Linked DNA regions of Mus musculus. The protein of the gene in region 6 purifies or fractionates together with the protein of the main gene of each other region. This does not show direct contact. Links are inferred from orthologs where the notes say so. Each region holds a gene or a part of one and is shown on either strand. Other genes may lie near its edges. The genes, in order: Acly, Ccdc117, Hnrnpdl, Dnajb6, Irak1, Stip1 and Bag2.

Region 1 (3,500 bases), on a different chromosome or scaffold from region 6:
GGTCTCCTTTTGATTATAAAGGTAGTCTGGGATTTGCATTTTTAAGAATTCAAGCACCCTGGCACTGTACACCTTAAAGCAATCGTCCTGGTGGTACAGCCGGTAAGATTCTGGGGCTGAGAGTTTGCTCTGTTGGCCGTGAGCAGCAGTGAAGGAGGAACTGTCTCCACTCGCTGGGAAAGACGGCTGGAGCAGTGAGGCCAGCTTCTTTTATAATTTTCATTTTTTTTTTTAATCTTATGTATATGTGCGGTTTTGCCTTTGTGTGTCTGCACACCACGTACACCATGTGTGCCTATGCCTCCTGCCTGCAGCAGTCAGTGAGGTGCCAGTCTCCTGGAAATGGACTCATAGATGTGTGTGATCCACCATTTGGGTGCTAGGAACTGAAGCCCAGTCCTCTAGAAGAGTAGCAAGGGCTGTTAACTGCTGGGGCATCTACCCAACCCCTGGGAGGGCCTCCTTTTTATTTATTTATTTATTTATTTATTTATTTATTTAAAGCTCCAGAAGAGTTCTATAAGCCCATTCCTTACTTGTTCTTCTGGGAGAGGCTCTAATCCTTCGTCATCACAGATTAGAAAGGGACACCCAGGCACGAACGGCCTTAAGACACTGACCGTCCCTTCGTAATTCCTTACATACCTAGGATGAATCTTTCGGGGAGAAGTTAAACTCACTACCTGTTACGTAGCCCAGGTTTGTGTCCTGATTTTGTAGCCGACTTTTATTTCATGGGGTTGTTGTGTTTTTGTGGGGCTCTTTTTTCCTTTCTGCGCATGTGTTACGTGCGCGGTTTTTCCTGTTGTAGGGCCGGTCCTAGGAAAGCTTGAAGCAGCTTCCACTAACTTGTGGGGCTTTTCTCTCCTCCCATTCCCTTTGCAGATAGGGGGCACAGAGGAATATAAGATCTGCCGGGGCATCAAGGAGGGCCGCCTCACCAAGCCAGTGGTCTGCTGGTGTATCGGGACCTGTGCCACCATGTTCTCCTCCGAGGTATGAGTGGGACCCCGGCTGTCGTTGAGTAGGGGATGAGGTTGCAGAAATGGCTGTCTGAGCTGAACCGTACTGACATCATCCCCATCAGCTGCTAATTCCCTCAGTAAACTCGTGCTGCTCACTTTGTGACTACAAAGCCAAGCCCAAGTTCTGCCTGCCAGGAATTTTATCTCACCTAGACTCTTCTGCTGCACATTCACCAGCAGGTGAAGGTCGAGATGAGACATTGAGTTCTGGCACAAGGGAGCATAAGCAGGGAGAGGATACGGCTTGGGCTTAGCCTGGAAACCTAATCTTAGGTCAGATTAGGGAAGCCCCGTGGGAGATAGCGGGGAGAGCATTGTTCTTGCTGTACTAGGGTACAGGCATGTGAGGTGAACAAATGGCTAAAGGTGCAGCCATCAGTTTGACCACCTGAGTGCGGTTCCCATCTGTAATGGGATCTGATGCTCTCCTCTGGTGTGTCTGAAGACAGCTACAGTGTACTCATATGCATAAAATAAATAAGTCTTTTAAAAACAAAACAACAAAAACCTATCCTCTGTTGGGAAGATGGCCAATCACATGACAGAAATCAAATGCAGGATAAAAATTATCTGTCAAGCTGAGTGTGGTAGCACGCCTTCAGGGCCAGCACTCAGGAGGCAGAGACAGACAGGTTTCTTTGAGTTCGAGGCCAGCCTGTTCTACACAGTGGGTTCCAGGACAGGCAGAGCTTCACAGTGAGACTCCTCTCAAGGAAACAAAACAGAGCAATTCTCTAACCAGTTCATTCATCATCAGCATGGAACAGCCTGTGGGTTTCTTGATGGTATGTGTATAGAGCAGGTTTGGCTTCTAAGTTTCTTATAGCAGTGTTGCTGCTGTGGTAGAGGGGTTAACTGAACCCTCAAATGCTGGCAAATGCTTTACATCCCTAGCCCACAGTGATGCTCTCTACCTATAAACTTAAAGTGGCTGTTGGAGTCGCACATCTCTGAAGGAATAGCTCCATTCCTGTGTATCCTACGAATAGGAACTCAAAGATGCTTCGAGGGACGTGGGTAGAACAGGCCCTGTAACATTGTAATGCCAAAAGATGGAAGTAGCCTTGTACACATCGAGCGGAGCGCATGTGTGTCTGGACTGGGAGGATATGGTCATCATATGCACCTGTGCACTGGACAGCCAGGCCAATCTGTGCGCGCGATAGAGATAGATAGTCACTACAAAAGGAACTCGAGATGCAGTTATTCTTAGGGCAGACTTTTATGCACACTTCAAGTATGATTCTTTTTATTGATTGAGTGATTGATTTATTATATGTACAGTGTTCTGTCTGCATTTATGCTTGCAAGCCAGGAGAGGGCACCAGACCTCATTATAGATGGTTGTGAGCCACCATGTGGTTGCTGGAAATTGAACTTAGTACCTCTGGAGGAACAGACAGTGCTGTTAACCTCTGAGCCAGTTCTCCAGCCCCAAGTTCAGTTTATAAACGTGAAGTGTGTGGGATTTTTTTTTTCTCCCAAGTGAGTAAAGGGGGATGGAGGATCCAGAATTCTGCCGACCTTTCAGAGGTTGCTGGCACAGGCTTTAAGGTCAGCTCTGTGCGCTGGCACCTGGCAAATCGGTACCTCCATTTCCAGAGCTGCAGAATTGGACTTTTGGATGATTTAAACAAGATAGCTGTAGCCAGGCGTGGTGGCCGAAAGTGTAATCTCAGCATTTTGGAGGCAGAGATAAGAGGATCCGGAGTTCAAGGCTAATATGAGTTACAGAGTAAAAGAGCCAAACAAAGGCTGGGGAGAAAGCTCAGCTGGTCACAACAATGAGGAACTGAGAGTCAGCCCCCAGCACACAAATAAAATCCAGATACAGTGGTACAGGCCTGAAATTCCAAAGGGGTGAGGTGAAGACTGGTTCACTGGTCAGCTAGTCTAGGTTAATCGGTGATTTCTAGGTTCGGTGAGAGATGCTGTCTCAAAAAATAAGGTAGAGAGTGATTAAGGCAAATATCCATTATCAACTCTGACCTCCATAGACATGAATGCAAGCACGCACGCACACCACAAAGCCAAAACAGAAGTGATGGCAAAGGTCTGGAACCTATGGGTAAAGTTGCTTCTCATTTGCCTTTCTCTTGGCACATTCTTCCTCCCAGGCCTTTCCTCACAAAATAATTCCACTCTTCCACTCTTCTATTTGGGGTCCTCTTTTGAATCCTGCACGAGGTTAAATGTTGGCCTTTTTAAGACTTGCCTTGGTCATGGTGTCTGCTCACAGCAGTAAAACCCTAACTAAGACACCCATCACAAGGCCAACAGCTTTATTTAATTGGGGCTGGCTTACAGGTTCAGAGGTTCAGTCCATTATCATCAAGGAGGGAGCATGGCAGCATCCAGGCAGGCACAGTGCAGGAGGAGCTGGGAGTTCTACATCTTCATCTGAAGGGTGCTAGCAGAATACTGGCCTCTTAGGCAGCTAGGATGAGGGTCTTAAAGCCCACACCCACTGTGACC
Region 2 (3,831 bases), on a different chromosome or scaffold from region 6:
GTCAAAGCAAGAACCTTGGGACTAACTAGCAGGTGAGATACCGAGCTGTATCTATCTATTCTAATCCCAGTTTCCAACCCATCATGTTAGATAACTTTTACTTTTACCCAGGGCTTTCAAAATTTGGTTAAAAATAATTTTTTTTCCTGCAACTGTAACCCAATGATAAAATTCCTTGCCTCACGAGGATGCATAGACATCATAGACTGCCTTATCTCTTCAAACTCCTCCAACTTGAGCTTCCAACTCTACATCTCACCTTTGAAGGCTCAAGTCACAGGGTCAGCATCTCATGTCCCATGGCAGTGACCTGCTAATGTTATTGGTACGTTAGCAAAGGCAAAGCAGCCTGCCTAGTCTAGAAACAGCTCACCTTTAACCCCACAGTATCAGGCTTTCGGGACAAATTTAAGTTTTCCACTGATAAGGATGCCCCCTTAATTAAAATTTAAAGCTAAGGAAAAAATGCTTAATTTACATTTATACAGGATTACAGATACTTTAAAAGTTCAAAACATTGAGTTTTATTGAAAATAATAAAGTACAGAAACACCAGATTCTCATCTTTAAAGCAAATCTGACACATCTTCCAGCACGTTGTAGCACTGCAGCATTCTTGTTGCTGTTAACAAAGGCGGCTCCAGGGCCAGAGTGGTTTGGCCTGCTGCCTAATAGTCTCCCTCGGCTCTAAGGCCTGCCTTGTTTCTAAATCTTAGTTTTACCTTTTTAAGAACGAGCAGTTTTTAAACTGGTTCTTGTCATGAGAACTGGATTCTCATATTATTAAGAACAACAACAACAAAAAGCCCCAAGCCAAGAACCAAAAAACCCACATACACCCGACTCAGACTCACTGAAAATACATTTGTTCATCAGAGCTCACCTGCTTTAGATAACTGTTGACTGTCACATTAGCATACTGAGCCAATGTTGGATTCACACTGTAAAAACTATACAAGATGAAAAGACCTGTTAATTCCTTAGGAAAACCTTAAGGCAGAAGCCAAAGTCTTATGCTAGAGAGGAGAACAGAAGGCAAAGGTATCAGAGCTGTGGAGACAACTGGGTGTGTGTAAGCACCACAAGGATGAAGGTGATTTCTGTACAAACATGTGCAAGAAGATAAAATCCAAAAAGGAGCACAAAACATCTACTTTCCTGTTGAAACAGGGTCATGTCAGGTAAGGACTCCTGACAAGTTAAGACATCTCTGCTCTCAAGTGGTTACCAACTGCATCAAAGCCACTCGGGCCTTTCACAGAGGCAGTCCTGGTGTTTTAGGCCCTTTGGAAAGCTGCCACTACCTTCCTACCCTAACACTGGGCTAACTCCAGACTCTCGGCATCCCTGCATGGTTCTAAACTGTTCTAAAACTTAGCACAGAGATTTCTTTAAGGCTATAAACTTCACAAGCTGGTCCCATTAGATAAGCCAGGAGTTTTCAAATGACACGAGCCAAACCCTTGCACATTCACAGAAGACAGCTTTCATTCCCCTAGGAGTCTGAGATGAAGAAACAAGTAGCTGGCTTCAAGACTGGTTTGAAGGTTGATTAACTTTATTGTGTAGATATAAATATTTTGTTTAAATATTAAACATTAAACCTTTTCCTGACATCTAGACAGAAACGGAGAGAGCAGGAACAACAGCAGAGGAGACAGTCCAAAGACAGACGGACTCCTATGCCATCTGCAGGAGGGAGGCCAGCATGGGTTGCAAAACGCCAAGAAGCTACGTTTCTAAAAAGTCACCCCCCCTCAGCATAAACCTCTTCTCTGTTCTCCCCTATACAAAGGGAGAAGCAAGCCAGAAACTGAAAACTCAACTGAGGAGGAGTTCAGCTGTAGAAAGAGCCGCCACACTCACTGGATGGATAGCTTACTGCTCTGCAGCGCTGAAGGACTTGCGAAAGCCCTCATTACACGTCCTGCCATGCTGAAGAGCTCTTCCTGAGAAATTAAAAACTTTAACCCTGGTTATTTCCAAAGAACACCTTGAGACTGGTTCGGGTACTAAAGGGTAAAGATTTCCTGCTGGCAGGAGGCCATCTTCTGCTAACTTTTAGGCTTACTGCACAAAAGCTTAAGCACCTGACAATTAGCTATTTCAGTAAATCTCCAAGACACTTCTCCATTTCTTTTCAGCTAATTCACTGTTTTTGGAACCAACATTAAAAAAATTCAACTTGCAAATACAAGCACAACTTTCCCTTTTTAAACTCTAGAAGCAATCAATTGTAGGTTTAGCTGACACAGCATGTCCTTAGGATTCATGAAAAGACATTTCTCTCACAGGCAATATACCTCCCAGTCTTTAAGTCAATCACTGAAGTTAACTGAGGTGTAAACATTCCTGACTAACTGAGCCTATCCGTCATGAAAGGAGATCAAGGGCTACTACTTGGGTGATCCAGCTACACCAACCTGACACCAACACAAGTTTCTTTGCTTGTTCCATTCCTTCACAAGAGACAAGTCCTGCTCTCTTCCCTCCCGAGCCCCACGTGTACAGTGACCACTACAAGTAGCTCAGCACATGACTCAGCAATTAGGGTGCAGTGGCGATTAGGAGCACTCCTGTACAGAATCATCTCAAGAATGAATGGCTTCAACAATGTGACATGACCTAAGTCATCGGAACACATCCAGCATCTATAGCTGTCGTTAAAGAGACTGTAACATTTCCTGGATAAGCCTATTAAAAAACTGCATTTCCCTTGAGATAAGCTTCCTTGGCAAAAAGTTGAATTCAATAAATGGCTACCCACAATGACAGTCCCACCCAAGTCACAGGCAGAGGAGATATTACACCCGTTTCATAAAACTTTCAGGCCCCTATACTCTGCAGGCAGGCTCATTTCTGAACGCAGGAGCCTTCTCCGACTTGTCAAGTTAGAGCAGAACGGGTGTCTAGAGCTCCATCTCCTCCTCTGTGCTAGTAGCTGCCTCCAGACTACGGTAAAGCGGCGCGTCTGCGCACTGAGGTTCCAGCAACCCTTCAGTCCTCTGTGGGAACGCAGTGCCCGGAGCTGCGTGCTTTGCTTGGCTCTCTCTCCTGTAGTTCTTAGGGCTAGATGATGGCTTTGGCTTCTCAGGAAGGAGTTCAGGGAGAGGTTTCCAGAGCACAAGCTCCATAGAAGGACGGCTCCTGGGATGTAAAATACAGATTTTTATCAAACTCTAGGAATGCAAATGAAGGCTACCTGTAACAAGCTGCTGTCTCTCAGTCAGTCTAGGCTGCCTGTAACAGGGTCCTGTTCACTCCCAACGCCTCAGTCAGTTAAGAGCTGGTGGTCCTGAAAGAGCTGGTCTGTTGTTGGTGTATCCCTATCCATTAACTACTACCAGTTTCAGAATTATTTTATCTTGATGTCTTTTATCAGTTCTCATTATAGAAATTTAAATCTTTTAATTAAAAGTGTGGCTGGGTCATGGTGTTTCATGCCTTCGGGAGGCAGAGGCAGATGGATCTCTGTGAGTTCAAGGCCAGCCTGGTCTACAGAGCGAGCTCCAGGACAGCCAGGGCTATACAAACAGTCTTGAAAAGCCAAAGAAAACCAAATGTGTTCACTTCAGCAGAAGATATACTAAACTTTGAATAATACTGATTAGCATTTGTTAGTTAACCAATGCTTCATTTTAAAAAAGAGCTAGAGATATTTAGAGTTCAAATGGACTTAGCAAAATAAAAAGCACATTTATGTGCATGTGTGTCTGAGTGTCCATGGGAATATGAACATGTGTTACAGTAGGGGCTGGTGTCTCTTCACAGCAACAGAAACCCTAACTAAAACCCTAAAAGAAGTGAGCATTGTTTCCAGGCCCTCAAATC
Region 3 (4,292 bases), on a different chromosome or scaffold from region 6:
CCCATACACACAAGTTCAGAATGGGAAAGTACTTCACAATTGAGTTAAGTGTTCTTACCGCTGTAGTCTGCATATCCCTGTCCATATCCATAGTTCCCATAGTTATACCCAGTATAATCATAGCCGCCATAGCCACTATAGTTCTGATCACCACCATAGGCACTATTATAATTTCCATATCCTTGATCATAATAGTTATTAAATCCTTGGTTCCAGTTTTGGCCCTGACCTGAAACAATGCACAACGAAGGTTAGGAAACAACTTGGGACTGTCCCAATCCTACCACAAGCTGATCCATTCCTGTCCCCTACACTGTGGCTTCAACCCCCCCCCCCCAAGTCAGCTCTTTAGTTTCACTCTAGCTGTGTTTCCCTACAGGTCAGGTCCCTAGCAGCTCACTGCTTCAGTGTACCGCTCACTCGCCCAAGGAGGTCTCACCTCTTCCACGCCCCCTAGCACCTCCTCTTCCGCCGGCTGCAGCCCCTCTGCCTCCTTTCTGTTGTTGCTGCTGCTGCCTGTACACCTCTTTGGGTTGCGCAACTTTGATTTCGCACTGTAAATAAACAGAAAATTTGCAGATGTTCCAAGTTCTGAACATAGAACAAGTTTCTCTTCACACTGACTTCACACACACAATCCTCTAAGTTGTTAAGGGATTTACCTTCCCAGAACCTATTTGATGGTATCTGCTTTCTAACAGTTTCTTTACTGGCTCTTCGTCTGTGTATGTGATAAAACAGAATCCTCTTCTTTCATTTGTTTTTGTATCCATGGGAAGCTCAATATTTTCTATCTGAAATCAGGTGCACAGACAAAACAAACAAACCCACCAGTTAATAAAGATTATATAATGCCACAGGCTCTTCACAAACACCAGACACATCTACTGACCACCATGTTCTAAAAAGTTGTGTTTTATCTTTTTATAGTACCTTACACCCCAGAGGCCACCAATTGGTGAAACACTTTACACCTTTGGGGCTTTGGCTAAGTAAGATTAGATACTGGTTTCCACTACAACATAGAAAGCAGCAGTGAAGACGAAGCAAGAGAATTCAGTCCCATCCGGTGAAATATTAATGAACCCCCCCAGACTTGACCAAACACGAGCACAGACACACATACATACACAAACACAGCCCACCTCTCCAAAGGCTCCAAAATATTCTTTAATTTGTTCTTCTGAAGTATCTGGGCTCAATCCACCCACAAAGACCTTTTTAGGGGGTTCTTTCCCCTTTAAAGCTTTGGCCCTTTTGGGGTCTATCAATTTGCCATCCAGTTTGTGTTCTTTCAGTTCCAAAACCTGGAAGACAAGGCAGTTTGGACTTAAAAGCCTAGAGCAACTTGCAAGCAACGCAGTAGACTCAATGCAAAACACAGCCCTACCTTATCCACACTAGCAGCATCTTTGAAAAGCACAAATCCAAATCCTCTTGATCTTCCCGTGACTGGGTCTGTTTTAATTGTGCAGTCTACCACTTCCCCAAATCGAGACAAATATTCAGTCAGATCTTTCTTGCTTGTATCCCAGCTCAAGCCTCCAATAAACATTTTACTAGAAATAAAGTTATTTAAGAAAAATAAGCTTAACAGTAACTTAGTGATTAAATACAGGGCAACTTACTCTCCAGACGCAATCTGTTTTGACTACAAACACTAACATTAGACCACAAAAATCTTAACCACTTGTTCAAGCCAGCTGGCACGTTGCTTTGTACCACGCGAACTCAAAACTTAGAAAAAAAAAAAAAGCCATTAGAATCTGGTAGATGTCCTGCCCTGCTTGCTTTGGATTGCAGAGCACAACTTTTACACCGATTCCCCCGCAACTTACGTAGACTCTTGCCCACAGCCTTAAAGCCAACTTTGCTACCTAGGAAACTTTTAGTGCCAGTCGTCTACTGGTGCCCCAACCAAAAGTTTCCCAAACCTAACCCAGGAAAATTCGCGAGCGGCCAACACACACAATGAAGAGGCGGCAGCGGCAGCAGCAGCTGCAGCAAGTGGCGCACAGAACCCGGCCCCTCCCCCCTCCCGGGCCCCACGCGGCGCCTGCGCACTCGGGACACCGACGGCGCCTCTCTCCTTCCCCAACCCCTCCTCCCTTCCCCCACCCGCGGCGGGCCTCTCGAGTCACCCCATCTTACTTTCCACTAGTGGGGAAGGCTACTGGGGTCCAGCGGGCACGCGGAGAATCGACTCGGGGAAAGACTGGGGGCAGCGCGCGCGGCTCCGGAGGGACGAAGGGCGCGCGCGGGGCTCTGGGGGAGGGGAGGAGCGGAGCGTGCGGTACCCGTCATCCTGCTGGTTCTTGCTCGCGTTGATCTTGGATCCCTCTGCGAACTCCTCTATGTTGCTGTACTCATTCATGTCCTCCATGGTGGCGGAGCCGTCGGCGAGGGGGTGCTGGCGCGCAGTCCGGGTCCCGGCGGCAGCGGCGGCGGAGCGTTGTATGGAGCTAGATTTAAAATGGCGGCGGAAGAGATCCGGCCGCCGCCTGCGCCCTCCCTTTATAGCCGCCCCGCCCGCCAATCGGGAGGGCTGCTGGGCGGTGACGTGGCGCGGGCTCCGGCGCGCCCCCTGGCGGGAGGCGCTGGAAGCGAGCGAAGGGAGGAGCGGGGCGAGCTGCCGGGGAGCCCGTGGCCGCCAATGGGAGAGGCCGCGGGAGGCTAAAGTAGCGGGAGCGGAGGGGAACAATGGCGGCGGCACATGGGAGAGCCGGGGCGGGACCTCCATCGCCGCGCTCCGGATGAGGAGCGAGGTCGCGCCGCGGGGAGAGTCAGCCGTGCGGGACCGGGAATCGCGAGCGGCGCCGTGGCAGGGCCACAGTCCCTCTTGCCTTGAGAGCCGTTGGCGTCGCGCGTCCAGTTCGGCTCAGTCCCTTGCTGCGCCCTCAGTCCCCTAGTGCAGAGCTGCTGCTGCTGCTGCAGCGGCGGCCACTCCGGCAAAAGGGCGGCGTGCACCCCGCGCCGCTTGCTGAAGCTGCAGCGCGCCCGTCCGCCCGCTCGCTCGCCCGCCCTCCCGGCGCACGCGTGTTTTGTCCTCGCGCCGGCTGCAACCAGCCGAGCAGAAAGCCTGTGCGCGATGACCGCCTCCGTCCTGGCGGGGACGGCTTTTCCGCCGTCGCCTCGGGGCGGTGTCGGCTCAGGGGCCGTGGCTGCAGGATCTCTCTCTGCAGCCCGGGTTCCGTGCGTTCGTTCTCCGAGGCTGGCTGAGGCCGCGGCGGAGGGCGGGGCCTGCTCGGATGACTGAAGCTGTGCCAAGGTGCACGCGGTGGGCGGGGAAGGGGTCAGGTGCCGGGGAAGACAAGGGGCACTCACGTCCCGGGCGCGCCACTCAAGGGACTCCCGTCTGCACGAGCCCCGGGCCTCCCGCGCAGGCTCCAGCAGGCTGCGGAGGGCTGGTGCCCGCGCTCGGGCTCCAGGCTCCAGGCTTGGGTGCTCGCTTCTTTGTTCCCGCCCACGCGAGGCCTATTTTGACCGACGGGTTCGCGGCTCGCCGGCGGCCAATAGGCACGCGCTCCTTGTTTCCTCCACCCCCCCCCTTTGAATCCCGGAGCCCCGCCCCTCCGGCTGCCCACGTGGTCCGGGCCTGCGCGGCTCGCCTGCTCGTCGGGTGTAGTACCCTAGGCGGCTTCCTCTGCAACTGCGGGTCCCAGCTCTGTCTCTGAGCCCCTGGTCGTTCGCTGTCGCCAGCGCCTCGGTTGTTGCTGGGCCCTCGGGAGCTCAAGACGCGCAGGCGGTGTTGCCCTCCTTAACCAAGGCCGAGCCCGTGGTAGCATCCGGCAGGGAAATGGTCGTGGTTTCCGTGCCCGCCGAAGTCACCGTAATCCTGTTAGATATCGAAGGTACCACAACCCCGATTGCTTTCGTGAAGGTGAGGGGCGGAAGGGAGCGGGGAAGTTACTTGTGCCTAAAAGCATCTGAAAGGGAAATTTTAAGTGTTGGAGATTTTGCCTGGGAGGCTCAGGAGAGGCGGTGTGGCTTTATGTCTCTGGAATGGGGAAGAGAAGCTGCGGCGGTTTGCGGGGGTGCTTTTCCTCGCGCCACCATCTTCTCCCCTGTCCTTGCTTTCGGTTAGGTGGAGAAGGATAGGAAGAAGTGGAGATGGTCTCAGCAACGGCTTGGGGAGGGGCAGGTCAGCTGGGAGGAGTTGGGGTGATTGGAGCTCCCACGGCCTGGCAGGTAGGTGTGTCGCCCGGTGGATGAGCGTCCCCCATGTGCTGAAGGTTGCGGCCCGCAGAGGTGGTGGCCTTGACTTAGTGGTCCTTGAGGTTTAGGCCTTCCCA
Region 4 (3,500 bases), on a different chromosome or scaffold from region 6:
TTGATGCAGTAATAGCTTTCATCACTAAATACTGAAAATAAAATTGAAGTATTTCTGTAGATTCATCTGGCAATGTTAAGTCCACAGCAGGCTGACACTACTCACTCACAATTCACCACAATGGGAAGCAGATCCATGCTGGTGTTACAGACAGTCTCTTCCTAGCACTACTCAAAAGTCACAGGGCTCACCTCAGATTACGATTGGTTTAAAGCAAAGTGCATACAGAGATTACAACAATTTTAAGGACAAAAGAAATAGAAAATAAGGTCCTATTTTGTGGTCCCAACAACAAACTCAAAAATCTGATAGATGGAGGCTCCAATGAGCTTTTTTATAAATACTTTAGTTTAGGTACAGTTATACAGAAAGTCGAGTTCGTTTCAAATCTTCAAAAAAAAAGTTCCTGTTATTCCTCAAATGGTGCTTGTTATGGTTTAACATTTCTGTTAAATGCGTGCGTTGAGTTACTTGTTATCCAAGCGTAGCAGGTGCTCCTTACCATTTATTGTCAAGGACTTTAACTGCCCATCTTCTTCAACTTCTACTCTTTCTTGACCGTTCTCCACAATCCTGTAAGAAATGACCCATTTAGAAACCTCTGTTCAATCGGGATGTTTAGCAAGAGTTTTACTAACAAACTTATGGTCCTGAGCTCAGTCCTTAGAAGTACAAATATATAATATATATATATAATATTTGTGATTTACATAACAGATCCATGAAAACTAAGCTCAAGAGTTCTTCCTAAAATTCCAATCCTGCCAAAAGTAAATGTGGACTCAAATACTATCAAATACAGGAGATGTTATAAACCACAAAGAGTAAGAGTGGGGCTGGAGTATGGCTAAGTGGTCGCAGCCCAACTCTGCCATTAAGGTTTTCCTGCTCAAACAGCCACTTTCATTTTTCGACACTGACAATGCCAGGGATTCTCATGACAAATGACCACACAGTGATATGCATCAAAGGAAAAATTAAGCAAATATTCAAAGCAAAAAGCTTTACGGCTTTGGCTGATTTAGAAATTAAGCACACGGGATGGTGAGATGGCTCAGCGGTTAAGTGCGCTGACTGCTCTTCCGGAGATCCTGAGTTCAAAAGCCAGCAATCACATGGTGGCTCACAACCATCCATAATGAGATCTGATGCCCTCTTCTGGTGTTGCTGAAGACAGCTACAGTGTACTTACATATAATAAATAAATCTTTTTTAAAAAAGAAAAGAAAAAAAAACAGAGAGAGAGATACCTCTTTGTCGTGATTTTTTTGCCATTAACTATCTTAGTTGAAGTTGATATTGATTTGAAGTTGCCCATTCCACTGCCGCCAAATGACGTTGAAGAAAATGAAGTGAGACCCCCATGACCTAGTGACCCAAATGGAGTGAAGCCTATAAAGAAACAGAAAAGTACAGTTAAAAGCTACAAAGTTTAATATTCACACAAAAATTACCTTATTCCAAATTTGTGAGCCTCAAAGGGAGCTGAGTGAGCTGAAAGTGGGTGAGGTACTAACTAGTTCCAGCCTAAATGATGTTCTACCTACACAGCAGACAAGTACCTACAACACACAACAACAATGTACAAATACCTGTTATTTTTAATTTTTCTCCCAAAAGCTGCCCCAGAGAACAACTTTCCAAGGTCCTAATGTGGCACGTGCTTTTAAATTAATGCAAGCATGTGGGATGATGAGGTCTCAAGACCATCCTAATCTCCAGAGTGAGACATGCTAGTCAACAGCCAAGACCGTACCCAGAAATCACTGCTCTAGTCTATTAGCAACCTTTTCCCAAGAGGAAGTGCGTGTGTGCTCGTATGTGTGTGTGTTGGGGGGGTGGGGGGGGGGCGTTTGCCATTAAACCCTGATGACCTTAGTTCCACCCCTAGAAGCCATGTTGAAGAAGACCACCTATAAGAAACTTTTCTCTGGCCTCCAAACACACAATGGCATGCCTGTGCCCATACACTTAACAACAGAATTATATTAAAGATGGAAATGAAGTCCTGCTTTCTCATATACAGATTCTGAGAGCCCTGAGTCTATTTCACATTTTGGCCACACCTTATGAGCACCTTAATGCAGGGGCAACTAACAACACACCCACAAATACCCACAATTAGTGGCTATGACTTTTGACAAGATGCCTTTACAAACCCGTTATAACGTTATAACTGGGCTCAAACCTGGCATCCAGTGTGGTAGGATTAGTCTTTCACACAGAGCTGTGAAGAAGAATCTGTCTACACTACCCACCTCAAAACAGGAAACAGATTTCCAACCAAAGAGAAACTTACCTGCCCTGTCCCATACAAACTTTAAACTATACTAGCTAAAAGATAGATCAAAAGAAACGCTTTAATACCTGTATCAAAAGCAGGAAATCCACTTCCAAAAGAAGGAAATCCACTGAAGGTAGAGAAAAATGAGCCGGCACCTCGGCTTCTATTTCCTCGGGGACCCCTTCGGTTTCCAAAAAAGTCATCAAATGGGTCTTCTAGAAACAGATTTTTAAAAAATGCATTATGAAAATATTTAAGGTTTTTTTTCCATAGAGGAAGAAAAATGGGTTAATGCCTTAAAACACGTGGGTCTGTTAGGCACAAACACCCAACAGCTCTTAGCACTCTGGAGCACGTTCACTTACTGGTACCATTCAAGTAAAGCTGAGTGCAAAAGACCAGACAGGTGCCTAATGGGAACGGTGTATCTACAGATACCTCATCAAGCCTTCAGAGGGCTGTTCAACAAAGCTCAGTACACAATTAGTTTCATTAGAAAAGACAGTTTCAGCCCAGCATTGTGTGGCACAAGCCCACAATCCCAGCACTCCTAAATGCAGGCGGATCTCTGAGTTCAAGGCCAGCCTGATCTACAGAGCAAGTTCCAGGATAGCCAGGGATACCCGGTCTTGAAAAACAAAAAAAGATGGTTTCCATCTTAGGACAGCTTTGTTGCTGTTTTCCAACTTTTCATTCTTTTATGCATAGTTAGGTGCAGCTTAGGGGCATGTGCACACAGGTACACAGAGGCCAGACTCATCAGATCACCCAGAAGCTGAAGTTAAAGAAAAGTACTTGTAAGATGCCCGACTTGAGTTCTGGAAGGGGATCTTCTGCAAGGGTAGTACTAACGAGCCATCTCTCCAGCCTCCAACCTTAGACACTTGTACAGAGAGGAGGAGCAGAGTCCAGCATGGTACCCCACACCTTTATATCCCAACTCAGACAGACAGATCTCTGAATCTGAGACAAGCCTGGTCTACAAAATTTCCAAAACAGCAACAGGTGAATATAACTGCTGGTGAGCCTGATGATTATGACCCAATAATTCCTTTCTCATATCAATTCAATTTGATGGCTCAAAACTCTCAAGATAGGGATGGAGTTGACTCAGAAGTTAAAAGTAAGTGTTGCTATCATGGAGCGACACCCACATAGAGGCTGACAACCATCTCAACTCCAGTTCCAGGGAACCCAACATCCTCTTCTGGCCTCC
Region 5 (3,500 bases), on a different chromosome or scaffold from region 6:
CTATAGAAAGTCATATGGCCAGGGAGACAGTGACCCTCTGCTCAATGAACAGCTCTGTTCTGAGTGTCCCTGTGATATTCTTCCTGCCCAGTCCTGTGAATATGGGAACAGGTGTTGCCTGGGACCTCAGAGCTGAGAGTACTTAGGGCTATGAGTACCCCTGCATGGTGCAAGTATACAAATAAAGCCACGGTGGTGAGCAGAAGCCAAACAATGTGAAGGGGCTCAGGGACTGCGGGCCCTCAGACAGCTGGGATGCAATGCAGCCACTTTCCATAAGCAGTACGCCTCTAGTCCAGTTTATCAGGACCATTTGGGTGTAGGGGACAGAAAAACAGAAAGGTAGTAGGACCTGAACTGGTGCCATTCTTCCGTTTGTTTCCAAGTTCTAACGTGCTTCTGGATGAGAGACTGATGCCCAAGCTGGGAGACTTTGGCCTGGCTCGTTTCAGCCGCTTTGCGGGGGCCAAAGCAAGCCAGAGCAGTACTGTGGCCCGGACTTCCACAGTTCGAGGTACCCTCGCCTACTTGCCTGAGGAGTACATCAAGACAGGCCGACTGGCTGTGGACACCGATACCTTCAGCTTTGGGGTGGTGAGCCACCAGCCCTTCTGTTGGCTTGGGGAGGGAAAAGCACCAGTAAGTAAAGTCAGGAAAGCCTAGAGAATTCTAGGCCTAAGGCAGAGGTGAGCCTAGTGGGGAGCTAGCATAGCTTTGGCCTTAGGGATCACCCTGCCTCATACACCTCCCTCTTCCCTTGCACTAAATTGTGGTCATAATTTGCATCCTTTTGCTTAAGCTTGCATCCCATAACAATGCTGCCCTTGCTGGGAGGTGGTCTGTACCTGCCTGTTCCGGGACTACTTTCCCACTAGTCCTGATCCATGCCCATGCTACAAGCCTCTTCTACACACAATTTCTCCCTGCTAAAGTGATGTTGTCTATCCCCCCTCTAGGTAATACTGGAGACCCTTGCTGGTCAGAGGGCTGTGAGGACACAAGGTGCAAAGACCAAGTATTTGGTGAGCCTCCTAAGGTGGAGCATGGAGGGAGGGAGGGGCAGCTGCAGCCAGTGGGTACAGCCCCAGAGGGTGGGATGGTACAGATCCTTTACATTGCCCCACAATAGCCTGCTACTGCTGCTGCTGACTCATCTTTAAAAGTGGGTGAGTCCCAAGCAGTTTCTTTTACCTTGCACGGAAGAACCTATCTTTAGTTTGTACCTAGACCTTGAGGATAGGGATGTAATCTCAGTGGTAGAACCTTATTGCATGCAAGGCCCTGGGTCCTATCCCCATCAAAGGGGAAAAAGAACTTTGACAGGTTCCCCCTCTGCCTTGGACTGGGGATAGAGAGGGGGCTATTCCAGATACCCCGGGGACCAAACCTTCAGTGGAACTTAGAGCAGGGCTGAGTAAAGGCAGTAGGAAGTAGGCAGGCTGTTAAAGTAGCAGCTCCAAGCCATCCTGACCCCTACATTCCTGTCTACCTTGCTGTACACTGAGATAGGGCTAAGGAATAAGAGACCTAAAGCTTAGCATCTGAGTACATGGTTTTGGTTCCAACATTCAAAAATCTGAGGCAGGAGGATTGCCAGGAGTTGGAGGCCAGCTGGGGCTATATAACAAGACCTTCTATCAAAAACAACAACAACAAAATTAGTTGATTATGGTGGCATGTACACTTAGGAGGTAGAAGCAGGGGGGTCAGAAATTTAAAGTTATCCTCAGTAATATAGTAAGTTCAAGACCAGAGTAAGTTACATGGTTCACTGTCTCAAACATACAAAGAAGCTGGGCAGTGCCAGCACATGTCTTTAATCCCAGCACTTGGGAGGCAGAGGCAGGCGGATTTCCGAGTTTTGGCCAGCCTGGTCTACAGAGTGAGTTCCAGGGCAGCCAGAGCTACACAGAGAAACCCTGTCTTTTTTGTTTTTTGTTTTTTGTTTTTTTTAAAAACAAAAAACAAAAAAAGACAAGAGACCTGGGTTTTAGTCCCATCAACACAGTGGTCATGGGTCAAATTCTTGCTCTTCATTGAGCTTCAGTTTCCCATATAGAAAACAGACTTTAACACAGGAACACTATTCCAGCAATTCCTAGGCCCAGAACATGCTTGGCTAATGCTGGGTCGTCACCTTTTACAGAGTTACATCTCCCATTGCTTCTCCAGGATGAAGCCTATTTTTGTCCACTGTTGGGCCCAGTGGGGGATTTAACCAACCCAACAAACTGAACCAGATTCTACCCATCCCTCCTTCCTTTACTGCGTCCATTAGCACATCCCAGCTCAAGTACTGGTTGTTCAGACCCCACGGACCTTGCTAACAGACTAGTAGGTTTGTTGGCATCTGTTTCCCCCACTGCAATGGGATGTCAGGACTGTAAAACACGGCCCAGAGTGTTTGATTTGTGGCTGTTATCAGTAGAGCCCCAGACAGCACTAGGCACACAGTGGTGTTTAATGAACCTAGGGAAAGAAGACCAGAGGACTGAGTGGCAGTGGCCTGGAAGTTTTGGTGGAACCATGCTGAACTGACAGTATTTGTTTTACAGAAAGACCTGATTGAAGATGAGGCTGAAGAGGCTGGAGTGACCCTGAAAAGCACCCAGCCTACTCTGTGGGTGGGTGTAGCCACGGATGCTTGGGCTGCTCCAATTGCTGCCCAGATCTATAAGAAGCACCTGGACTCCAGACCTGGGCCCTGCCCACCCCAGTTGGGCCTGGCCCTGGCTCAACTAGCTTGCTGCTGCATGCACCGTCGGGCCAAGAAGAGGCCCCCCATGACCCAGGTAGCCCTGGGGAGGCCAGTTAACCATGGGGACATAGTGGCCAGCAAGAAAACTTTCGTACTTGCCCTGCTTGATAGCAATAGCTACAAAGTACCTACCTGATCTCTTACAGAGGCAAAACTCCCAACATTCCTTGCTTGCCCTTTGGCTCTATTTGGGGAGGTGCTCTGTGGAACTAAGTGGTAAAGGGCTGCTGCTTTGCTGGATGAGCCTCAGATCCCAGGAACAGGTAGAAGGAAAGGGCTCTGATCATGCCCCTAAGTGGGGGTGCTGTGCCACTCACTACCTTTGTCTTTTTGTCTTACCTTCCACCTCTTCTGGTGATGGTTAAGAATAGAGTTCCTGGCTTTGGTGGCCATGAATCTCAATAGTTCTTGGGATGAGACAAAGGAACAAAGGGCAATGTTTTCTCAGCTGCAGAGTGCACCAGCTTTGTGTTATCTGTCATTCTGTTGGCTGTATGGGGCCTGTGGTATTAACCTGAACATAGGCAAGTCTAGGCCAACCTGAAGCAGCAGAGTAGCTGTGTGGTTTGACCACAGGGTGTCAGATCTAGGCTGCCTTGCCCAGCCAGGAACCCATGCTCTGCCCATCCTGAGAGCCTCTCTCTCCACACAGGTATACAAGAGACTAGAAGGGCTTCAGGCAGGGCCTCCCTGGGAGCTAGAGGTTGCCGGCCATGGCTCCCCTTCCCCACAGGAGAACTCC
Region 6 (4,014 bases):
ACAACCGGACATAAGGTACCTATGGAAAAACAGCTTCACAGCACCACCACCACCACCGCAGATTTTCCAAGACGGGTTTCTGCATAGCCCTGGCTGTCCTTGAACTCAGGGATCTGCCTGCTTCTGCCACCCAAGTGCTCGGATTAAAACTACCACAGACTCACCGCTCCCTTTTAAAGCCAAGAATAGAGTGAACATGAGTAGGATGTTACTTATGTTATTGGGATGGGCATGTAGCTCACTTGATAGCCCAAGCACCAGGTTGGACCCCAGCACCAAGCACAGTGGCATATACCTATTATTTCAGGATTTATGAGGTGGAAGAAGGAGATTGCTGTAGTGAAATTATTACAGCACCTATTATGGAATGATCATCTACTCATGATTCAGAAGACTGACATAGAATGTACTTCTTGCAAATGCGTTTAGAATCCCAAGGTACACCAATTAGAAACTTTCACAGAACAGAGGTCCCAATGCACATGTAAGCTGGCTTTTCTCTGCAATCTCAACACTTAGGAAGAGGCAGCGGACCCTATTCTCAGCAAAGGAGGATGACATGCAGGAGAGATAAAGGAACAGACAGGAAACTGCCAATATGACATTCCTTTACAGGAAGGTCAAGGGAGAAAAAGAGTACACAGTACACAAATATTCATCTTTGAGCTGGGCAGTGGTGGCAGAGGCAGGTAGAGTTCTGAGTTCAAGGCCAGTGTGGCCTACAGAGTTATTTCCAGGATAGCCAGGGCTACACAGAGAAACCCTGTCTTGAAAACAAACAAACAAACAAAAAAAAACCCCTCGTCTTTGTTTGCAGTTAGGATCTCTTTATGTAGCTATAGCTGACCTGTAACTCCACTATATAGACAAAGCTGTCTATCTGTCTGCCTCTGCCTTCCAAGTGTTGGGATTGAAGATCTGTGCCACCACACCGGGCATTAGAAATAATGTTTTGGGATTTTTTAAGACAGGGTCTCACTATACAACTCTGGTGGTCCACTTACTTACTCAGAGATCAGCCTGCCTCTGCCTCATTGAGTGCACCATCATGCCTAGCAAAATTAAATCTTAAAATATAAACTATGTGTCACTGTAGGAGTTACCTGGAATTCTACTCTTCAAATGTACAATTTTCCAGACAGGGTTTCTCTGTATAACCCTAGCTGTCCTGGAACTCTCTGTAGACCAGGCTCTCCTCAAACTCAGAAATCCACCTGCCTCTGCCTCCCAAGTGCTGGGATTAAAGGCTTACTTATGCCACCACCACCTGGCTCAAATGTACAATTTCCAATATTCAAACGCATTTGTGTATATGCTAGTGCATGGGGCAGACATTGGAAGTCAGGGTCTTCCTCCAACACTCTCCACCTTACTCTGAGACAGAATCTCAATGAATCTGGAGCTCACAGACAGGCCTGAGATGCTCGGGTCTCCCCTCCCCTCACCGATTTAGTGGGTAAAGGCAATCGGAACCCAGGCCTTCATCCTTAGACATCAAACGCTGAACCAACTGAGCCATCTCTAAGCCCAACGCTCAAATTTGTCATCTTACTGTAAGTTTGCAGTCCACAGGAACACTTGCACACTTGTATAATGGCTGGCAGGATTTTTCCCCACTGAGGAGGGTGGGGAGGATGGACGGGGTAGACCATAGCTCTAAATTCAGGCCCTGTGTTTGATCCCTAGTGCCACACAATGAATGAATGAATGATAATGAAAAACAACCTCTTTTTGTTGTAACAGAGCAAGGTGTTACTCATACCAAAAAAGCGTCTCTCTTGTCCGTACTGCAGTTACAGTTTAATTACTCCAAGGGTACAGAAAGTTGATTAACCTCTCCATTTAGTCTTATTAACAAGGTGAGAGGCCCCACGGTCCCTCACAGTGACTATTCCAGAACAAAAGGTTTTACTTTATACATCACAGTAAAAGTAGTAGTAAGCTGTGCTCTTTTTGTATGTGTGTGTTTGGATGAATCACAACGGTTCAATGACAGCTTCCAAGGTAACAAAACCTCTCCAGGCCTCAGATGCAGGCCACTGTAGCCTGAGCTAAATCACCAAGGTAAGGACGGCAGGTTTCCCTCTGTGCCCCAGATCAGATGCTGAGCGGTAGAGACAGGGACTTCTAGCTCCTCACTATCGGCTCACAACTGTCTAAAACCACTAAATCCTGTGTAATCGGGAACGGAATTTCCAAGGGTCGGATACTCAGTCACCCCACAGTCACTACGAAAAGTGGGGGGAGGGGCGACATATGTATGCCTCAGGGAGCCCTGGTGACACTGTCCGCGCCCGCCTTCTCTGCAGTCGCGCGGGTCCTTTTCCCGGGCGCACACAGATGCCGTGTACCCCGAAGGCTGCTGGGGTGATCGGTCACCGGATCCCTCCAAGTTCGCAGCGGCCGACAGGGGCCTCTCCGCGCTGAGGAGGCCCGGCCCCCAGAAGCTTCGGGGCCCGGCCGCGGCCAGGCCTGTTCCCGCTCCACTCGGCGGGTCGCGGGGGCGACGGGCGCTCGCCATTCTCCCCTCACACGCCCGACCGCGGCTCTCACGCCCGCGCCTCGGCCGCCCGACCCGGCCCCCCAACCACTCGCTTCTCCCCGCCAACAGGCCTGCGCTGCCCCGGGGCCCCGGCCGCCCCTCCCCCTTCACCTGCTCCATAGCCTGGCCCGGAACCCCGTTGAATCGAATTCGTCCGCTCCGCGTTCCCAACCGCACGCGCCGCCTTCTGGAACCTACTAGAAGCTGCCGGGACCCCCAGGTTACCGCCCCTTCCTCGCCTGCTCACTGGTTGAACACGTCCAGGAGGCTCTGCTCGCCCCTTTTATAGGCTTAAAGTTCAGTCAATCATCGTGACTTCTCTTTCATTGGTTTTTTACGGGTCTTCTCTTCAGCCCTGCCTCCTCTGCACCTCCGGATTGGACACTCCGCGGCAAGTCCCGCCTATTTCAGGGCTAGGCTAACTGAGGGAGGAGCGGGTCTTGACGACACGGATTGGTTGGTTAGTCCGTCAATTGTAGCTGGCCTGGCCGCACCCATTGGTCCTGTTCTTTCTGGAAATTTCCACAACTCTCATTGGGCTGAAGGACTCCTAGACGGAACCGCCTTTCAGAGGAAACATTCAATTGGGTGGATGGGTGGGGAAAAAAAAAAATTTGGCCATTCCTGGCGCTGATTGGTTTATGCCGCTGCCCTGTAAGGGGGTGCTCGGCTGGCTGGTGGTTCGTGGGGAGTCGAGCATCTGGCCCGGTGTCGCCTAGGCTTTAACTACAGCGTTACAAGCTGTTTTCCCTGAGTCTGAGACTGTTGGCCCGCGCTTCCTCGCATCCTGACTATTAGGCCCGGAATGTACCCAAAATATTGCGGGCTATGACGGGCCTGCGTTGAATGTTCCCAAAATGCTGCGGGCCACGACAGGCCTCCGCTTTTCCGGCAGTGTCCTGGCGGACCGGCTGCTTGGCCCTTACTCTCTGAACTCAGCTGCAAGCTTTGGTCACCATGGCCTGCCAGCAGAAATGCTACTTGGGTTGCAGGCTTAGCGTGTAGCTTATGGAACGACAGAGACTGATGATCAGGGGTCTGGACAGGATTTGTATAAGGAACGTGGGCTGTGCGGTGCCATGTCTGTGCCAGTAGCACCAATGCATACCCTCTCCATCCGGTTACCCCTTATCTGTTCACTTATGCCTACCTAGTTCTTTCTCCTGCCTCACTTAAGATCGGAGGAAATGAGCGGTGGTGGCATACAGCACGCAGGAAGCAGAGGCAGGTGTATCTCTTAAGCTAGCCTGATCTACATAGTGAGGTCCAGGACAGCCAGAGCTATCCATACCAGAACTATATAGTGAGACCCTGTCTCAAGAGAGAGGGAGAGGGAAGAGGCAGAGTGCTGAAATTACAGGTGTGAGCCAAATGTGGCAAGAGTACTTTTTGGGTGACTGGAGATAGAAACAAAGGTCTTGTCTGTGCTACACAAGCCCTCTACCCATGAGCCTCCAACCTTCTGTTTGACA
Region 7 (4,031 bases), on a different chromosome or scaffold from region 6:
ATTACAGTGGTTGAAATTACAGTGTACACGAAAAGTGTTCCTTCTAAATTACAGACTGTTACTCCAAATTAAGTATGGTGTCAACTTGCTTCGTGGGTCCTGGAACACTGGCGCATCCGAACAGGAACCTTAAACAGTAAGAAACCAAAGCAGGCGGGTGGCCCGTTTCCCTGGCTCCCGCTGGCAGTCACCCTTTCCTGGCTGAGTGAACTGGAAAGGAGCTGCTCACTGCGGGCGGGATCGGTTTTGGGAGATGTGTAAAGAGCCAGCCTTCCAGCCCTGTCAATCATTTATCCCTCCTTGGCCAATGTCCAAACCCCAGGCCCGGAGCAGCTACTCGATAACTGGCACGTTCTAGGTCTTCAAGGTTTACTGAATCAAATGCTAAATCGATTTTCCCCTCCTTTAGTAAAATCATATTCATTCATATATCAGCTGGACAGTTTGAAAAGTGATATTCAAGACCAGGACAAATGGTGTTGGTCTGAGCAGCCGGTCTCCCCGTGTTCCTAGGCGAAGTCCACTGCTCTGGACTGAGACACACTGTATATATCTGAGCTTCAAGTTCTCATCTGTACAATACAGATAACGGTAACTCCCACAGAGACACGCGGCCTAGCCTACAGACTAATGCTAACGTGGATTATTTACAACCACTGAAAAGTACAGTATTTAGCCTCAGCATGTGCAGAGTCCCCATAGAACTGGTCATGAAAATCAGGAAAGGACAGGATTATCTTTTTAGAGAAAGCACCACAGGAAAGGAGATGTAGTAAAAAAAAAATTTTTTTTAATGTAAGGATATTTTAATGTAAAAATGTTTTTAATTGTAATATTATAAGCCATTAAAAACCAATGGCACCCTTTACCAGCTTGTAAAACTGGGCTAAACATTTAAAAGCATTTTCAATGCCCGGAAGATCAGTGCATCCTGCAGGACAGAAAGCCTTGGGTGTGGTTTCAGTCTTACAAGGGAGCAGGCTTTTGCTGTTCACAGAACCCATTCACCTGAATGGAAGATGCGCACTGGCGACAATCCAGTGATTTCCGGTAGTACCCCGTCCACTGTTGTCCTCAGACGTGTACACTAAGAAAGCTAGGGGGAAGTCACAGGAGCATCGTCCCCATTTTTAAAAAGTCTAATTTTGAATACTGTCATGCTCTGTGGCACTGTCCAGATGGCTTCTAAAAAGGGCCCCTAAGCCTTACCAGGCAGCATCTCTTTCTATTTCTTTGCCCCTTCTGACACACTTACTTCTAAGTGCTCATTACATTTTTAAGGGAGAAACAAGACTTACAGAACTCTGCAGTTACTGGTAAAGGCCTTGAACCATTAAACACAGAAATAAAACCCCTTCAGCGCAACTGTTAATAAGTAACGTAATTTAATCGCTTATGTTTGGTAGTCAGGATTCCTTTGATAGTAATCAGACACTAGAATGTCTATGCAAACTCCAGACTTTCAAGAGGCCCCCAGGAGAAGAGCAAGGACTCGGCACACAGGCTTGATTAAGTAAAGGTTCAGAACAATGACTCAGCTTGAAGAGTCACAACTTCCTGAACCCTTTCAAGAAAAAAAATCGGAGCAGTTGGGAATATACTGTCAAAGGTTAGAGCCTACCTCGCACAAGGAAACATTCTCGCCCCCTTTCACAGCGCAGGTCCCTTTGTCTCCCGGAGTTGGGGGATATAGGGTTCAGGTTTCTTTTGTGGCTACTCCACAGTCAGTGAAAGTTTTCTCACCTTCTGGCTCTTTTCTCCTAATAGTAACAGTAATGAGCGCCTCCCGTGTAACGAACACTGCTTGCATTTTTTTTTTCCTGTGCAGACACACTTCCCTGTGTTTGGTGGCTGCGTGGAGGGAGATTCATCTCCCTCTTATAATTTTGGGTCATAGTGTTCTGCTTACGCAGAACCCGGAGAAAACTAGGGAACAACGTGTGTGTCAGGGCATCTTGATAAGATTTTCATGGAACACCTGCACATGATCAAAACTTGCACAACTTTGAAGACATTAACATTTCCACCAGATACATAAGGCTCACGTGGTTAAAGCCAACCAAGTGTTCACAGCATTCGTTAGTAGTATTCATGAGTTAGAAATTTTACGACAAGGCTGTCCCCGTGTCAGAATCTTAGGGAGAGTGTGACTCCTGCCTTTGGTGTTTTCGGGCCTGCGATTGGCACTTCCAAGGTGTCAGCCGTGTCTTCTAAATGTACAACAAACACGGACAGACTGCAGAGGGCATTGCACGTGGTTGAGAGAATGAAGGATGGTATCCAACTTCGGTGTACCTCGCGCGGTCTCTCATGAGTCCGATTCTCGATGATCCCCAGGAGGGGCCGTCCTGGATACTACCACCCCCCCCTCCCTTACACTTGTATTACTATGAAGTGATCTGGGGCAAAGAAACTTACTCCAGTGTGGGGTGAGGGGGGGGGGGGCACACCAACCTGCTGCCTCCCTCCTGGAAGCAGAAAAGTTAAAGGCAGAGGGGGACCGCGCAGAAGATTCTGGAAGTTCTGCAAGCCGCACTCGCTCGCCAGTCTGCCGGGCCGGGGGAGGGGAGCCCAACCGGAGCGCGCCCCCGCCCGCGCTCGCCCCTGTGCGCGCCCCGCGGCCCTCACCTGAGCTCCAGCTGGTCCAGACTCTCCAGCAGGCGGCTGGAGCGGTCGGCCATGGAAGACGAGCGGCAGAAGCGGCCCTCGTGGGCCTTGGCGCTGATCTTCGCCTGGGCCATGAGCTCCGGGGGTCCTCGGCGTCCGCGGGCAGCAGTGGCGCGAGCCGCACGTCGCCGTCACCACGGGCGCCGCTGACGCGGACGGCACCGCCCCCACCTCCCCGGCTCTCCACCCCCGAGGCCGTGCGGCCAAACAAGGGCAGGCGCGGTCGCAGCCGCGGGCACGCCAGGGTGGGGGACCCTGCCCCGGCGCCCAGGGCCTCGGCCGGTCCTCCCAGCACCCACGGTTCACAGCAAGGACGAAGTGGGTGCAGCCCGTGAGAAGAGGAGACAATCCAGTGCACCCTAGGGCAGTCTCTACTTGTTCGACCTGTCCGGTGACCAGGCAGGCTCGGGAGAGGACAGGGAAAGCCTAGACCACAGGCTCCAAATAAGGAGAAGCCAAGTGGATCCGTGTTGTCTCCCCTTTCCAATGAAAGGATTATTACTATCACACATAACTTGTTTAAACCCTCTGCGAATGATATTCAGTAGGCTTAGATGTCAGAAGCTGCAGAGGTCAGTAGGTCTGAAATACGAAGCCGCATCTTAAAGTTGTGTTTTGTCCTCTCAGTGTACAGGGTACAGAAAATGGGAAACAAAGTACATTTACATCCTTTACCCAGAACTCAAAGCCATTAGATTACTGAACAGAGACAAGCCCCTTAAGTACAGTTTCTAATCCTGTCCCCACCACACCCCGAACACATCTTAATACTAATAAACGGTGGATTATCTTGGCTTCATTAAACACTGTCATCTCACGATACAACCGTGAAATCTGAACATTTTGTGGACATCTTGAAAGTCTGAACTTGGGCAGGTCTCAGGTCTAATGCTCCTCTGGAGGCTGACAAGTTGTGTAACGTGGGCCAGGGTGGATTCAAGGCTAGGCTGGGTAGCTTCAGCAAGTGTCAAAGGAAAAATAAAAGTGGCCGCAGACATAGCTCTGTTAGGTTGGCAACGAGGCCAGGCAGATGTGGTGGTTTGAATGAGATGCCATCTGTGCTCTCTAGCACTTGAACACTGGGGAGGCCTGGGTGTGGCCTTGCTGAAGGAAGTGTATCACTCCCCGTGGGCAGGTTTCAGAAGACCAAGCTATTCCCAGTGTCTCTCTGCCTCTGCTTGGGTTTGAGATCTGAGTGCTCAGGACATGTCTCTGCAGCCATCATAGACTCAGACCCTCTGTATCTAAGTCCAATTAAATGCTTTCTTTTACAAGTTGTCTTGGTGGAGGTGTTTTATCACAGCAGTAGGAAAGTAACTAAAATGGCAGGGATCTTCATATGTTTGTTTAAATGTCTCCACACG

What was found.
Region 1: the proteins of Stip1 (region 6) and Acly fractionate together in Homo sapiens (co-fractionation; 3 studies listed by BioGRID, with this or other methods). This does not show direct contact. The link is inferred for Mus musculus from reciprocal best matches to the Homo sapiens genes STIP1 and ACLY.
Region 2: the proteins of Stip1 (region 6) and Ccdc117 purify together in Homo sapiens (affinity purification with mass spectrometry; 5 studies listed by BioGRID and IntAct, counting the BioPlex papers as one, with this or other methods). This does not show direct contact. The link is inferred for Mus musculus from reciprocal best matches to the Homo sapiens genes STIP1 and CCDC117.
Region 3: the proteins of Stip1 (region 6) and Hnrnpdl fractionate together in Homo sapiens (co-fractionation; 3 studies listed by BioGRID, with this or other methods). This does not show direct contact. The link is inferred for Mus musculus from reciprocal best matches to the Homo sapiens genes STIP1 and HNRNPDL.
Region 4: the proteins of Stip1 (region 6) and Dnajb6 purify together in Homo sapiens (affinity purification with mass spectrometry; 3 studies listed by BioGRID and IntAct, with this or other methods). This does not show direct contact. The link is inferred for Mus musculus from reciprocal best matches to the Homo sapiens genes STIP1 and DNAJB6.
Region 5: the proteins of Stip1 (region 6) and Irak1 purify together in Homo sapiens (affinity purification with mass spectrometry; 3 studies listed by BioGRID and IntAct, with this or other methods). This does not show direct contact. The link is inferred for Mus musculus from reciprocal best matches to the Homo sapiens genes STIP1 and IRAK1.
Region 7: the proteins of Stip1 (region 6) and Bag2 purify together in Homo sapiens (affinity purification with mass spectrometry; 3 studies listed by BioGRID and IntAct, with this or other methods). This does not show direct contact. The link is inferred for Mus musculus from reciprocal best matches to the Homo sapiens genes STIP1 and BAG2.

What each region holds. Positions count from the first base shown.
Region 1 is NC_000077.6:100,490,001-100,493,500, reverse strand, and holds part of Acly (ATP-citrate synthase), read left to right. Parts: intron 1-885; coding exon 886-996; intron 997-3,500. UniProt on the Homo sapiens protein: Catalyzes the cleavage of citrate into oxaloacetate and acetyl-CoA, the latter serving as common substrate in multiple biochemical reactions in protein, carbohydrate and lipid metabolism.
Region 2 is NC_000077.6:5,528,387-5,532,217, forward strand, and holds the end of Ccdc117 (coiled-coil domain-containing protein 117), read right to left. Parts: intron 3,148-3,831; coding exon 2,910-3,147; 3' UTR 501-2,909; downstream 1-500. UniProt on the Homo sapiens protein: Facilitates DNA repair, cell cycle progression, and cell proliferation through its interaction with CIAO2B.
Region 3 is NC_000071.6:100,036,423-100,040,714, forward strand, and holds the start of Hnrnpdl (heterogeneous nuclear ribonucleoprotein D-like), read right to left. Parts: upstream 2,801-4,292; 5' UTR 2,741-2,800; coding exon 2,298-2,740; intron 1,560-2,297; coding exon 1,391-1,559; intron 1,308-1,390; coding exon 1,146-1,307; intron 795-1,145; coding exon 663-794; intron 555-662; coding exon 440-554; intron 230-439; coding exon 59-229; intron 1-58. Other genes in the region: Enoph1 (enolase-phosphatase E1), read left to right, coding at 3,797-3,851. UniProt on the Homo sapiens protein: Acts as a transcriptional regulator. Promotes transcription repression. Promotes transcription activation in differentiated myotubes. Binds to double- and single-stranded DNA sequences. Binds to the transcription suppressor CATR sequence of the COX5B promoter.
Region 4 is NC_000071.6:29,763,398-29,766,897, reverse strand, and holds part of Dnajb6 (dnaJ homolog subfamily B member 6), read right to left. Parts: intron 2,500-3,500; coding exon 2,368-2,499; intron 1,393-2,367; coding exon 1,251-1,392; intron 574-1,250; coding exon 468-573; 3' UTR 1-467. UniProt on the Homo sapiens protein: Has a stimulatory effect on the ATPase activity of HSP70 in a dose-dependent and time-dependent manner and hence acts as a co-chaperone of HSP70. Plays an indispensable role in the organization of KRT8/KRT18 filaments.
Region 5 is NC_000086.7:74,017,422-74,020,921, reverse strand, and holds part of Irak1 (interleukin-1 receptor-associated kinase 1), read left to right. Parts: intron 1-386; coding exon 387-594; intron 595-956; coding exon 957-1,022; intron 1,023-2,555; coding exon 2,556-2,792; intron 2,793-2,904; coding exon 2,905-3,021; intron 3,022-3,410; coding exon 3,411-3,500.
Region 6 is NC_000085.6:7,037,227-7,041,240, forward strand, and holds the start of Stip1 (stress-induced-phosphoprotein 1), read right to left. Parts: upstream 2,801-4,014; 5' UTR 2,663-2,800; coding exon 2,654-2,662; intron 1-2,653. UniProt on the Homo sapiens protein: Acts as a co-chaperone for HSP90AA1. Mediates the association of the molecular chaperones HSPA8/HSC70 and HSP90.
Region 7 is NC_000067.6:33,754,951-33,758,981, forward strand, and holds the start of Bag2 (BAG family molecular chaperone regulator 2), read right to left. Parts: upstream 2,801-4,031; 5' UTR 2,742-2,800; coding exon 2,629-2,741; intron 2,617-2,628; exon of another isoform or gene 2,455-2,616; intron 1-2,454. UniProt on the Homo sapiens protein: Co-chaperone for HSP70 and HSC70 chaperone proteins. Acts as a nucleotide-exchange factor (NEF) promoting the release of ADP from the HSP70 and HSC70 proteins thereby triggering client/substrate protein release.